Linked DNA regions of Nothobranchius furzeri. The protein of the gene in region 2 interacts with the protein of the main gene of each other region in a pairwise test. Links are inferred from orthologs where the notes say so. Each region holds a gene or a part of one and is shown on either strand. Other genes may lie near its edges.

The links.
Region 1: the proteins of c11h5orf22 (region 2) and transcription elongation factor 1 homolog interact in binary tests that used the Homo sapiens proteins (3 or more experiments, as listed by UniProt). The two-hybrid records come from large-scale screens. The link is inferred for Nothobranchius furzeri from reciprocal best matches to the Homo sapiens genes C5orf22 and ELOF1.

The regions. Positions count from the first base shown.
Region 1 is NC_091747.1:74,776,884-74,780,648, reverse strand, and holds transcription elongation factor 1 homolog, read right to left. Parts: upstream 2,375-3,765; 5' UTR 2,360-2,374; coding exon 2,244-2,359; intron 2,149-2,243; coding exon 2,078-2,148; intron 1,633-2,077; coding exon 1,568-1,632; 3' UTR 506-1,567; downstream 1-505. Other genes in the region: pld6 (mitochondrial cardiolipin hydrolase), read left to right, coding at 3,533-3,711. UniProt on the Homo sapiens protein: Factor involved in transcription-coupled nucleotide excision repair (TC-NER), a mechanism that rapidly removes RNA polymerase II-blocking lesions from the transcribed strand of active genes.
Region 2 is NC_091751.1:66,270,440-66,274,681, reverse strand, and holds the start of c11h5orf22 (UPF0489 protein C5orf22 homolog), read right to left. Parts: upstream 2,806-4,242; 5' UTR 2,621-2,805; coding exon 2,552-2,620; intron 1-2,551.

The sequences.
Region 1 (3,765 bases), on a different chromosome or scaffold from region 2:
AGGGATGATCGCTGATGGGAGTTTTGTGACCGTGTTTATGTTTAATAGCTTGTTTAATAGATTTGCTATAGTAGCTTTGAGGTGGGATAAGCTAACCGCTGAACATAGCCAAGATCAAAGTGGATCTCTGCTGCCCAACAGCTCACATCACAGCTAAATTCTCAGCTGTTCCTCCTGTTATTGTACATCCTTCTATAAAAGTTGTACTATTTAGCTTAAATACTATTTGCAGTAGTAAAAATACCCGTGGCAGCAACACAGCATAATCTCAACATTTCTGTGTTGTGTTCAGACTAGCTGTTAGCACATCAATCCTGTGGAACGTAAACCTTTAATCCCCAAGCTATAGGACCATATCAGCAATACTAAAAATAGTAAATATTGATAATTATCACTATTTGATGGCATTATTTAAATGCTGACCCATACCAGAGTTTCTGTTTGGTTACTAAAATAAAACAAATGTCTTATATATATATATAAATAATTAAACAAAACACTTCAGTGAATTTTATTCTTTATTTCCTTACTTTTACAGTTTAAGAGAATTTAAACTCTGGTTGATGTCTTACAAATGATTACAGAGCAAAAACAGTACACAGAGCCAGGTTCATAGGCATAATTCAAGAAATAAAATACTTTTTCTTCTGCGCAGACGCTTTATTCCTCTTGAAGTGTTTTGATTTAGCGTGAAGAAAAGACCGAAGCTGGTAAAAACCTCCAGCTGAGATGAAATTTAAAGGATTTGTTTTTGAAGTGGGATGAACTAAAACTGTGGCACGACTCCTTATGAAGAGGTAGAGATGTTAGTACCACCAGCATGCTTGACTGAAAATGGATAATACAGGTTATTTCTTAACAAACATAAAAACACTTGAATTAATGGCAATATGTATAAAAGCAGCTTAATCTAACAGAACCATGTGACAGCAACCAGCGACTTCCTCCTGCTGATTCTCTGCAGACGGTAAGAAGATCCTGCTGCTGCGTTCACATCTGTAGGACCTCATTGTTCAAGTTTCTGGAATGATCAACTTCTGCCTGTTTATGGGTCTTTTTCCTGTTGCTCGTGAGTTTTGCACAGTTTGCATTTCACAATAAAATACCAAAATTTTCCTCTTTCCTTACTTTACAGATCTGTCATATAAAGCTGTGGTTATTATGCTTAAAATAACCCAAATAATCTATAAATTAGGACTTTTTTGTATTTTAAAACTATTTTTTTGAAATTCTTCATTAATTGCAGACTCATCCAATAATGTAGAAAAAAAAAAACAGAAAGCCCGTCTGATTGTGAGACAAAACAAAAACTATCCTGACAAGGAAAAATGTAGTTAAAGCTACAGCTGTGGGCCTAATTGTTTCAACAGAAGAGGAAAACTTTGGATTTCACAAATTACTCTGAGCACAGTTTTGCTGAAGACCCCATAAAGTAAAATTTTGATCACAGAGCTATTAAACCTCTGAATGACATAACTGAAATAGTCTGTGGCGTTGAGTGGACACACCCCACCGGCCACACACTCTTCTTCTCGGCTTTCCTGAGATGCATTTAACTCTACGAGGGCTACTGATTGGCTGCTTCACACGCATCTATCCAGTCACTGTACACATCAACTGGTTCAGACAGATCTAAAGAGTAACAGATTAAGGAAAAACCAAAGAAATCTAATTCTATGAAATAAAGTTAAAAGCAAATACAGAATAACCAGCAGTTTCCATCAGATAAAATACAATTCTGAATCTGTGTCATGAATTAATCAGGAGATGGAACTGTGGATAACATTTTCTTTATTTTTACCTCGTCCTCTGTACACTGCTACTTGTGAGGGTGACCCTGTGCTCCTGCTCTCTGTTGATAGTTGTAACTATCAACAGCCATAAACATGTTGATCTTTAGCTTCTGAAGTCTAAAACAGTAAATCAATATTTTTACTTGACTACACTAGAAATTAACCACAATTAGGTCTAATGTTATATATCTAGTTAATATGAGAGATTGCTCATTTAATAATTTGGTTAGATGAACTCTGACAGCCCATTAATAGACTTCACCTACGGATGGGAGAAAGGATACAGGTGATGGGAGTCTGGAACTCCTCTAAGCAGACGGAACATGATATTACCCCAGTGTTCCTGCTTCTTTCCCTGTTGGAATTCAAGGAACTCTATCAGATTAACAGACTCCTAAAAGAGATGAAAAATCACTACAACAGTTGTGTTTTGATGGCAGGTGAATTTACATTTTGACATCACATGACTTCTCGTGGTTGCAAAATGGGCAGGTGAACTGATTTTCCAAGTCCCCTGTCATCTTTTTCTTAGGGGGAGGCTTTCTTTTGGATTTGCGGCGACCCATTTCACATAAACAGCATCAACTCTGAAAGAAGCAGAAGACAATCCGCTTACACAAGAACTCACGAGCGAATGAGAGGAAATATGTCTGGTTGTTTGAGCCAAAAACCGCGTCTACTTGGCACAAACTTGCTCCACAAAACTGACGGTAAGTTAGCATGCTAACATTAGCATGTTTGTTTTGAGTCACGTGGACGTCATTCAGCTAACGAATCGACCTACGTAGAATATTTACTAAGACTGTTTTTGGTTAAGTTTCGATTGGTACCGCATAGAAAGCGTGAGGCGAGAGTTAAATGGTAATTAGTAAAAGTTTAACTTTGTTTACCTTCCTGAGTTGGAAACACACGTTGCTACCCAGCAGAGAGTTGGGCTAGGACCCAGTTCTGTTGTCCGTTCCAGTCAGATGATTGGGAGAAAGCTTGAGCATACTTGTCAGCTATTGGTTGTCTGATACGTCAATCATTTAGAAAGGGTGACGACACAGCCTGAGACCGCTGTTTCCGCATGGCGGCGACAGAAACTCTACAGGTGTTTAAAATTAGTAGACGTTTTGACTATTAGTGACCCTTCAAAGATCTTCAATAGTTTTAGTTTTTATGAGGTATGTGTCACAGCTTCGTCTTTGTGTAGTTCTAATGAAAAAACACCAACTTTATGTTAGAATTTACCTGAAAATTAGCCTCACAACGCTAGCTTAACAAAGCTAAAATTGATGATATTTCACTGATTAGTTTAATTTTTAGCTTGTCAGATTAGAAGTTGCCTCTTAGAACTAATATAATAAGTAAACAAATTTAATTTCACATGATTTTAGTAAAAGTTTTAGTATTTTTATTGAAAAAGCCGTTAGTCAAAGTAACATCAATTAAAAACAATCTATTATTCCCGGACGTAATTTACACTGGCGTTATTGACGCTTGCTGAAATGACGTGTCCTACTCTACAACTTTTTACAGACGATTTTTCAGTATTTTGTGTTTATTTTTAAGCAACAAGTTGGACTTATTCAGTCCACAATGTTGTGAAAGGTTCAATGATACAGGTTGATTCAATGATACAAAACCTTTGCAGCCCATGTGTAGGCACAAGACAAGATGTCATATTGTAATTCATACTTGAGTCATTTTGTGTGTTGATGTGGTCAGTTTTAGGGTTCGATTAACTGTTTTGGAAGATGTCGGTGCTGCAGGCCGTCAAGATGGTCAGCCTGGGGTTTGTGGTGCTCTCCTTCAGCCTGGAGCTGCTGGCCAGGCTCTTTGGCCGGCTGAGGCGAAGACGAACCCTCAATGAGGTCCTCTTCTTCCCCTCAGAGGTGGCCTGTGTGCAGCACTTCTTCTCTCCTTTTCCAGCTCAGTGAGTGACGGGAACATTTTGTAATTAAATACAGGCTAGATTTCCATAGCTTGT
Region 2 (4,242 bases):
CCAGCGGTGCGAGTGCGTAGCGTGCCCCCGATTTTCAAGTCAGGAAGTTGACCACGCCCCCATTGCACCCTTAATCTGCACTTCACCGAAGTCTGCAGTGATGTGGGCTTCGGGCAAGGGCATCACCCACAAGTCAATGCTGCAGGAGAGAAGGCTCAAGTTCCTTTTCGGAAAAATATGTATTTTCTAATGAAATTACTTAAAGGGACTTTACAGAGTTTTGAATTTTTATGCTTGCGATTGTCCCCTCAGGCCAAAAGCGTAACGGCAGCTTCAATAGTAGGCTCGTGCACGAGGCGCGCATGCTGTACGTGCACACTCCTTAACGAAAATAACAGCTGAGACAGTCCCGTGTGTGTGTGTGTGTGTGTGTGTGTGTGTGTGGGGGGGGGGCCCGGAGGACAGAGGACAGGAGAACGTGCAGCTAATTAATTAAATAATGTGGTTCTGTAGCTTTCTCTTCAGCACAGCCGACAAAGGTTTAAGATGGGTCAGTCCTCCTGCATGCTCAGATCATTCCCTTCCCTTGCTTGAAAAATTGTTCCAAAATGAAAGTTGAACCCACATCTTTTTTTATCTGTGAATTCAATGCCGTTCGGCGAGTCTCAAATAAAAATTTGGGCATCTTACTGTAAAAAAAATATACCATTAATGTAAAATAGAGACTCTAAACCAACTATGCTGACATCCAGAATCAAACCCAGGACTTCTGCACGAGAGTCCGACGTCTAACTAGGTGAGCTAAAGCGCCAGTGACGTCTTTTGTATCTGTAACATTTATATCATTGATGACAGCTGAAATAACGTTCAAAGAACGGTTTGGAGTGAAAATGGCTATTTTGTTGCTAATTTGCAGGAAATATCTAGAAGAAAGTTCTACAGAAAGTAGCTAAGGGTCCTCAGAAATTTAGCTAGCTTTGTCACTAGGCGTTAGGAACAGCGACAAAGTGGCACTGCCTCTCTCTCTGCTGTTAAAGCTACGGATAGCAAATGCTACGGGCGATGCCTGAGCGTGAACGCGCATGAAGCAGCCTGCTCGACCCGAGCAGCTCTCTTTTTCTGTGATTTTACAGAAAAACAGGCAATCACAGTAAAAATGCCAGGGCTCATTCTACAGGACCAGGGCATTGCAGGAGAATGTATGAAGAAGACATTTATTATTTCTATACATGTTTTGGCTGTCAAACTTCCATAATGTCCCTTTAATTTTAGGATGATTAGTAGATGCTCTAAAACTTTTAGACAAAGCAGCAATAAATGTAAATTAATTTCAAATAGCTGTTTATTTAACAGTTGTTAATAAAGGTTTTAGAAAAAAGTATCACAGCGACCAGCATCCCGGCATGCGCTGTGATCGGTGACGCAATGCTCCCTGTCTCAATTCTACAATTATTTGCACACTTGTGCACTACGCACTCGAACCCTACTGCACACTTTGCTGAAGACCACAGGGTGCAGTGCAAGTAGTGAGATTGGGCCAAACTCTGTTTGCTCTGCAACACAAGCCTGGAGGAGTTCTGCCATGTTGTGGAGTTGCTAACGCTAACAGTTAGCTTCTACTAGGCAAGACACTCTGCTGTTTGCTGGACGCCAACCTGAAAACAGCCTTCCCCATCGTGACGGAAGTGTCATACACATTCACCACCAGCCCATCCGAACACCTCCAGCCTGGGTTTGAACCAGCAACCCACTTCCTGTTTCCATTTGACAGACATGTCTGCACCATTTTGGCCACAACGTTGCTTCATTTACACACTGTATGAAAAAGAATGTGGGCATGAGAAATCAGTGACTCTCCCATAGTCAGCTCTGATTGGTTGATCAGTTTCCAGTAGGGCAGGTGTGAAGTAAACTAATTAATAGCCTGGTCAGATTGTGGGCTGGAGTGTCCAGTCCTCTGGCAACAGTTGCTCGGAGCGCACTTGTTTGTTTTGACATTTGAACTGCAGTACCCAAATTTGACCACGGGATAATTTTTCTTACTTCATGCCCCTTTAAATTTACATCAATATGAAACCTGTCCAACCTGTAAAAATAAAGACGCGGAACTGCTCTTTGGCTAAATGAAGAACGGCTGTTGGGCCTCTCACTTTCTGGCTCCTCTCCCATCATCACTACAGCAGCAGCAGGAATGGGATCCCAGAAAGCACCTTGTTGGTACACAGATGATAAAGTAAATCTGTCATTTCAGCTAAAAAGGAAATCTGCTCCAAATAGCTGCCTCTGCTGGTAGATCACACACTTTTATCATGTTGCCTAAAATCGTCTTTGATTACCCCAAAACAATAAAACCATCTATTCCTAATTGTTGCGCAGCTCTGTCATATAATTCACAAAGGGAAGGAGAAAAGTTTATAAACCGTTTCTCAGTTGTTGTTTTTTTTGTTTGTTTGTTTGTTTTTTGGTCTTTGAGGGACTCCGTACAACATTTATGAGTTTATTTTTAGAACCGAGTCACCCGTTTCGATCACATCACGTTCACAAGAAACAAGTGGAAGAGGCTATCAATGGTCGCGACAGCTGCTGTATTCATTCTAAAGCCCGTCCTTACTTCGTGGTGGTCCTCCACTATCCACACAGGCAGCTTCCCGTAGGACCTCTTCTGCGGAGCGGAACTCATTTTCACCTCGTTTCACTTCGGTTAGAATAGTAATATCTGCTGAATGGATTCGAGCGAACTACCGGCTCGCTGCTGTAGCCTTTCTCCGGATGGGAAACATTTCAACAAGCAGGCATGAGCGCAGAACCCCAATGGTGTTGTGTCGAAATGTGTCACCTCGTAGAGTTCCGTCCCCGCCCGGGGAGATCTCCACCTCAGGCCGAGTTTCTCCGGCTAAAAGCTGACCTTGTGGGATTAAACGGATTATAAACGTGATGACGTAACGAGTGATGTTTTTATTATCATTATTTTTAATTTATTTATTTGTTTTTTTCTTTTTCGTAACGAGTGGTGTGTAATGGACAAATCTACAAGCTTCAATGTCAATATGAATGAATCAAAAGGGTTTATGTTCTAAAACGGACAGAAACTAATCAGGGCCATTTATTTATCATCTTTTGTATGTTTAAGCGTTTGGCTTTAAACTTTAAACGCGCCTGATTAAAGCAACGAGAAACGGAACGAAACTCGTCGGGGAAACATATGTCGGCACAACACCTGGAAACAGAACCATTGCTGTTGGTTTCCGGCCAGAAACAAGTTTAAGAAGAGAAGTTCTTGTACGAAAATAAACATGACATAAAATGTAAAAACTAAACTAAAATGATTTTATATGAATAAGAACAATGAAGAGGTTTAAACCTCAACATGCCTTAACAGGCTCCGCCAGTCGTGTTATTTCGGTTTATTTAAACTGGATTTTTCAGTCAAAAAGGGAGATATTAGCAATGTTTATTACAACAAAATGATGAAGATGTTAGGGACATGGGTGGGATTTTTATTATTATTAAAAATGGTTTTATTACAGATATATCGTTTTCTTTCAAAATCTGCCAATGTTTCGTTAACCAGATATAGTACCACCAAACAGGCACAAGAGGGCGACCGTGTTTGGTCAGTGTTGTTTTCTCCACTTATGCTGGATTCAGCTCATGGAGAGAGGAGGTAGCACTCCTAATGCAGAAGCCTCTGTTGCCATGGGGACAATTACTGTTCACCCTCTACTGTTTTGTTGCTGCATGTGCACATGGTTCATACATTTAACTTTCATATGCTTCACTGAGCTTTTATTTACCAGTAGGACTGATATTTTTAGTCTTTAGTGTTTAAAAGTACATTTAAAAGTATACATCAGTGGCCTGATTGTTCCATATGTTCCTAACCGAGCACTTCGCTCTCAGACTGCAGGTTTACTGGTGGTTCCCAAAATATCTAAAAATAGCATGGGATGCAGATCTTTTAGCTATCAGGCTCCTCTCTTATAGAACCATCTCCCAGCTTTAGTCATTGAGGCAGACATCTTTTCTACTTTTAAGACTAGGCTTAAAACATTTTTATTTGATAGGGCCTATGGTTAAAATCTGATGTTAGCCCAGATCTGGACAAGTGGGGGAGTACAGGGAGGTGGAGTGTACAGTCGGTAAAGACGGCTCTCCCTTGCCCTGACTCCAACATGCCTCCATCTAAAAGGCTAGGTTATCCAGAGTTATCTCTGTAGTTATGCTGCTATAGGCTTAGACTGCTGGAGGGCATACTGACCACTTTCCACACCCTACTACTTTCTTCTATAATTTGTACTTTAA